2 linked regions of the Macaca fascicularis genome follow. The protein of the gene in region 1 interacts with the protein of each later gene in a pairwise test. Links are inferred from orthologs where the notes say so. Each region holds a gene or a part of one and is shown in the gene's direction. Other genes may lie near its edges. The genes, in order: IRF9 and IRF1.

Region 1 (3,411 bases):
CTGGAGTTTCTGCTTCCTCCAGAGCCAGGTACATGGCATTTCTGACTTTCTCCTGTGCCCTGTGCCCCGAGGTCTTCCACCTTTGACTGTGCATGCATTATCTAGTCAGTCAGGGCTTACAGCAAACTGTGCCCACATTACCATAGCCCAAGGCACTGGTTTCTAGGTGGCGAGAATTCCACATGCCTGGCCAGACTCCAAAAAGCTTGCTTCCCAAAAATATCACCCTATACACTCTCCTGGAAATCTACATTGAGACGTTGATTTCATTGGGCCAAACAGAGGCCCAATCTCAAGGGACCTTCTAGTAAACTACAAGCCCCTGGTCATTAAACCCTGAGGCCTCATGGTCAATCACATACTAGCTACTTGCCTAAGTGACAGGAAAACCTGAGAAGAAGTCCCCTGGCTGGTGCAGGGAGGGAAGGTGGAGCTATTCCCCTGGGGAGGGGCTGCTGCCAGCCTGCATGCTCCTCCAGCACCAAGTAGGGCTGTTCTATTCCCCAGACTACTCACTGCTGCTCACCTTCATCTACAACGGGCGTGTGGTGGGCGAGGCCCAGGTGCAAAGCCTGGATTGCCGCCTTGTGGCTGAGCCCTCAGGCTCTGAGAGCAGCATGGAGCAGGTGCTGTTCCCCAAGCCTGGCCCACTGGAGCCCACGCAGCGCCTGCTGAGCCAGCTTGAGAGGGGCATCCTGGTGGCCAGCAACCCCCGAGGCCTCTTCGTGCAGCGCCTTTGCCCCATCCCCATCTCCTGGAATGCACCCCAGGCTCCACCTGGGCCAGGCCCACATCTGCTGCCCAGCAACGAGTGTGTGGAGCTCTTCAGAACCGCCTGCTTCCGCAGAGGTGAGGCTGCTCTCTCTGGGCACCTGAGCTCCCACCCCCTACCTCTTAGTACCCCCTGGGCCCAACTTGGTGGGTCCTGCCACTTCCCTATCTGCCAGCAGATCCTCCATGTAGCCTATGCATGGCACTCCTGCACTTGTGTGGTGCACATCCTGTGTGGTCATATGCCCAGCCTGGCAGCTACCTGGCAGCTCTCCTCCAGCCAAGACAATGGAAGAGGTGGTTCAGGTAGAGCCCAGCACAAGAGTGTCGTATCTTAAAGAACACCATCACAGTGAAGCATGCAGTCACTATGTGAAGGTGCACAGAAGAATTGGCACAGAGATTTTGAGCTTCATGGCCTTCTCCTATATACACAGATTTGGGAGAGCTGGCACACATCACACACTCTGGCCCTGGCTGCACTGTCTCTACTACAGTCCAGGCATGCCTTAGGGTTGCGCTTCTCTCCCATCCAATTCCAGCTCCTACTCAATTCTAAACCTGACCTTAAGAGTGGGACCAGGTGTACACGGGTGCAGAGTGTGGGTGTTCCCAGCACCATGGGTACCCTAGCACTGGAAGGGTGTGAGCAAGCAGCAAAGGTCTGGGCACATCTGTGTTAGCAGCCAGGGCTGCTGCCCGGGAGGACTCTAAACTCTCCCAGCAGAGAGCTTTTTCAGCTGTGCAGTGATCTACTTCTAAGCACTTATTTGAGGCAGGGCCACCCTTTCCCTATTTGCACACGGGTGAGTAGCATTTAGTTCCAAGTACTTCTGACCTTGCAGCTCCTGCTGTGGCAGGACCCCCTCCTACCTCTCTCCATCATGGGTTTCTCACTATTGCCTCCCTGCCTGTGGCCCTCTCTTCTTTTTGAAATTCTTCCAACCCTTGACCCTTTCTCTTTCAGACTTGGCCAAGTACTTCCAGGGCCTAGGCCCCCCACCGAAGTTCCAAGTAACACTGAATTTCTGGGAAGAGAGCCGTGGCCCCAGCCATACTCCACAGAATCTTATCACAGTGAAGGTGAGCTCAGAGCAGGGGCAGAGTACCCATCTAATGAGAGCGGGGGCAGTGGTACTTCAGGAGGCAAAGGGGGTTTCCTAGTGGGGAAGGAGCTCCTGGGGGTGGTGTCTGTCCCTGATGCACTCACTAAGACACTCTTCTCCATCTCTTCCAATACAGATGGAGCAGGCCTTTGCCCGATACTTGCTGGAGGAGACTCCAGAGCAGCAGGCAGCCATTCTGTCCCTGGTGTAGAGCGTGGGGTACCCATCTTCCACCTCACCTCTTTGTTCTTCCTGTCTCCTTTGAAATAGACTCATTCTTCACACGATTGACCTGTCCTCTTTGTGATAAGTCTCAATAGTTGTCTGTGATAATTGTATCCTGAAAATCCTCGCACACACTGGCTGGTGGAGCACTCAAGGCTAATTTTTTTTCCTTTTTTTTTTTTTAATTTTGACATATACACCCTCTTTCATCTGTAAGGGACTGGGAAATTCCAAATGGTGTGAACCCAGGGGGCCTCTCCCTCTTCCCTGACCTCCCAACTCTAAAGACAAGCACTGCCGGGCGCGGTGGCTCACGCCTGTAATCCCAGCACTTTGGGAGGCCAAGACGGGCGGATCACGAGGTCAGGAGATCGAGACCATCCTGGCTAACATGGCGAAACCCCGTCTCTACTAAAAAATACAAAAAAATAGCCGGGCGAGGTGGTGGGCGTCTGTAGTCCCAGCTACTCAGGAGGCTGAGGCAGGAGAATGGCGTGAACCTGGGAGGCGGAGTTTGCAGTGAGCTGAGATCCGGCCACTGCACTCCAGCCTGGGCGACAGAGCGAGACTCCATCTCAAAAAAAAAAAAAAAAAAGACAAGCACTTTATATTTTCCTCTTAGATATTCACTAAGGATTTAAAATAAAATTTTATTGAAAGAGGAATCAGTATCTGATTTTCTGGGAGAAGAAGGTAGCAGTGGTCACAGATAGAGATGTAAACTTAAGAGTGGGGCACTGGGGTTCTCTTCCTGCTGACATCTCCAGCCTTTTTCCTCTCCTCTGCCCACAGGTTCTGGCTAATATGCTATCTGGGCCCTGTGGGTCCTGGGCCTGGCACTCTACAGAGGTACCCTCTGGGCAGACAAGATTAGGGAGTGGGTTGGGATAGGCCATCGAAAGGGGCATCAAGCCTTCAGCCAGGCACTATAGCCACCAACTTCACATGGTAAAGTCTGGGCTTCATAGTTCTTGCTAGAAGGCCTCAACATCGGGCCTGAGGTTAGACTGGAGGTCTAAATGAAGAGGAGACACTTGAAGGTGACCTGAAACTATGGTCTAGAGGCCCTGGGGCCTGAGAACAGAGGAGTCAGAGCGAAGAGTTGCTAAACCTGTACCTGTTGTTACTGGCACCTCTTCCTCCAGCACAAATTTCACCGTCACCCCAGCAGGGTACTCCCAAACTGGATTCCTTGCTCTATCTAAGCCCCATAAAAGACACTCTGGCTGGCTGGGTGCAGTGGCTCACGCCTATAATCCCAGCACTTTGGGAGGCCAAGGTGGGTGGATCACTTGAGATCAGGAGTTTG
Region 2 (2,927 bases), on another chromosome or scaffold:
GATCTTCCAGATCCCATGGAAGCATGCTGCCAAGCATGGCTGGGACATCAACAAGGATGCCTGTTTGTTCCGGAGCTGGGCCATTCACACAGGTGTGTGCCTGGGACTCAGGCCTAGGAAGGCCAGGGTAGAGACAAGAGGAGGCACTAACGTTAACACAGAGGCTCTTCACTGGGGTCCCTGAGCTCCCTGAGACAATATGCAGAATTACTGGGAACAGGGGCTGGTGGCAGACTAGTGTTTCTGGAGAAGAGAGTCCATCATTTCAGCAAATTCTCAAAGGGATTTCTAAAGCCAAGATCTTAGAAAGTGTGTGGCTTCAGGGGGGTTGTGGCTAGATGAGAGTTTTCCCTGGCAAAAGCATCTGTGAAAAGCAGCTGTAAGCCAGGGCACTGAAAGAGAGCCAGGTCTGCCTTCATGTTGACCAAGGCCCTTGGTCCAAGGCTCGTGTGGTTGGTAGCCTCCTTTATCCTTGAAAGATGGAGCTCTAGGCCCATCTCAGAACAGTCAGCCCACCCATTAGTTACTGTTCTCTGCTGCCCAGTCTGTGCCCACTCCCATGTTTGGAAATATCAGATAAGCCCCAGCCCACCTTGTGGCTGCTGATAGCCCAAGGAGGAAGACTGGGCATGGTCTGGGACACAGATAGTCCACTTTGGGGATATGGGGACTCTAGTGCTTCTACCTGGGCCCTTCACTGAGGCCCGCTAGATGTGTTTAAGCCAAGCCTCGGCATTTGAGAAGGTCCAGGGCCTAGGACCTGCAGAGTGTCACTGGAGTACCTGCTAGTTTGACCACTGTGGCTGTCTGGTTGCATGAGAGCTCAGGGGTACCCTTACCTTCCTCCACCAGGCCAGGGGCAGCTGAGGATCCCTACCTGTGGCCCTGACGATCCTCTTTTTTCTCCTGTCCTCTAGGCCGATACAAAGCAGGGGAAAAGGAACCAGATCCCAAGACGTGGAAGGCCAACTTTCGCTGTGCCATGAACTCCCTGCCAGATATTGAGGAGGTGAAGGACCAGAGCAGGAACAAGGGCAGCTCAGCTGTGCGAGTGTACAGGATGCTTCCACCTCTCACCAAGAACCAGAGAAAAGGTATCCAAGGACTCTGGGTCCTTGGGAAGCACCCTCAGGGAGGGAGGGTAGAAGAAGGTCAGCTGGGTCTGGCGAGCCTGCACCAAGGCTGACAGCCTATCTGCTCCACAGAAAGAAAGTCGAAGTCCAGCCGAGATGCTAAGAGCAAGGCCAAGAGGAAGGTGAGTATGGTCCTAAGCAGCCAGGCCTTTGGTCACCTGTGGGCCAGGGTGAGCAGTGGAAGAAATGCTAAGGTGGGCCTGGGCCTAAGCTGCTTTCTCCCTTGACAGTCATGTGGGGATTCCAGCCCTGATACCTTCTCTGATGGACTCAGCAGCTCCACTCTGCCTGATGACCACAGCAGCTACACAGCTCCGGGCTACATGCAGGACTTGGAGGTGGAGCGGGCCCTGACTCCAGGTGAGCTGGTGCAGGTCTGGCAGGGGACCCCACAAGTCAGTGGGATAGCTCTTTCTCTTGGAGGCATGGTGCTGGCAGATGGTGGCCCATTAGTGCAGGCTGCAGGGTTGGTGGGGGGGCGCTCGATGTCTTGCAAACTAAGAAAGCACACAGCCTTGACCCATGGCTTCTGCTGTCCCCCAGCACTGTCGCCGTGTGCTGTCAGCAGCACTCTCCCTGACTGGCACATCCCAGTGGAAGTTGTGCCGGACAGCACCAGTGATCTGTACAACTTCCAGGTGTCACCCATGCCCTCCACCTCTGAAGGTTAGTGCTCCTGGGGCCTGGCCTGCCTGCTTGACTGTCTGGGTCCTGTGAAGGGCTTCCTGAGAGAGAAAAGACGCTCAGAACTCCACCTGGCACTAAGCTGATTGAGCTGGGCATTGCCCAGTCTTAGCCCCCGTGGGGGGAGGCAAGCAACGGGGACACTAGGAAGGCAGTTCAGAGTGGGCTGCAGCACAGTGGGGGCTGGTGAGAGGAGGGAAGGGGGCCAGGGGCTGTATTTTGGGGTGCTGTTTCTCCTTCCTCCTCTGCAGCCCAGCATCTGAGGGTGAGGAAGGAAGTGGGGTGGGGGTGGGAAGAGGCGTGGCTTCAGGGTTTGAGAGGCTGAGTCACCAGGCCGGTGTCCTGTTCTGGAATCTCCATGGCAGGCAGGTCCACTGGGAGGGGTGTGTGTGTGTGTGTCTGTGTGTGTGTGTGTGTGTCAGAGAGAGAGAGACAGAAAGGGCAGGGGATCTGGTGGGCTGGAACTGGAACTGCAGGGCGAGTGTGGCTGACTGCCAGCCAACCTCTCTGCTTTCTCCATCCACAGCTGCAACAGATGAGGATGAGGAAGGGAAATTACCTGAGGACATCATGAAGGTAAAGCCCCTTCCTACCTGGGCACTCTTGAAGTGACCGTTTCTCAGTGAGGAGAGAGAACCAGTGAAGCTTCCAAATCAGAGGATGGGCAGCTGCTATTGTCACCTGGCTGCTTGCATCATCCCACAAGTGCCACATTCACGTGGCTTGACTGGTGGGAAAGCCACCATGGGTAGGGAAGGCAGGTGGGAGGCCTGGCCTCCGACAGGCCATCCTGAAGCAAGCCTGGGGGCATCAGACAGCTCTGTGAGTCAGGCACTATCAGCGATGGGTCCCTGGCCTGCACCCTCTGCCCCAACATGCCCCAGCCCTGCTAGTTTGGGAAATGCACATCAGGTTTCAATAATCAGCCTTTAGGATCCATTAATATGATTGCTTTATAGAAAAAGTTAGCAAATTATCCTCCAGGTTTTTTTTTCTGCTTCAGTTTTAAAAGTGAATATAAAGAAGTTTTTGCAGCCGGGGGCGGTGGCTCACACCTGTAATCCCAGCACTTTGGAAGGCCAAGGCGGGTGGATCACCTGAGGTCAAGGG

The links.
Region 2: the proteins of IRF9 (region 1) and IRF1 interact in a two-hybrid assay, tested with the Homo sapiens proteins (2 studies listed by BioGRID and IntAct). The link is inferred for Macaca fascicularis from reciprocal best matches to the Homo sapiens genes IRF9 and IRF1.

The regions. Positions count from the first base shown.
Region 1 is NC_088381.1:91,979,616-91,983,026, forward strand, and holds the end of IRF9 (interferon regulatory factor 9), read left to right. Parts: coding exon 1-28; intron 29-507; coding exon 508-849; intron 850-950; coding exon 951-1,077; intron 1,078-1,738; coding exon 1,739-1,854; intron 1,855-2,013; coding exon 2,014-2,147; 3' UTR 2,148-2,761; downstream 2,762-3,411.
Region 2 is NC_088380.1:139,012,392-139,015,318, reverse strand, and holds part of IRF1 (interferon regulatory factor 1), read left to right. Parts: coding exon 1-92; intron 93-917; coding exon 918-1,094; intron 1,095-1,205; coding exon 1,206-1,255; intron 1,256-1,363; coding exon 1,364-1,493; intron 1,494-1,676; coding exon 1,677-1,799; intron 1,800-2,343; coding exon 2,344-2,393; intron 2,394-2,927. UniProt on the Homo sapiens protein: Transcriptional regulator which displays a remarkable functional diversity in the regulation of cellular responses.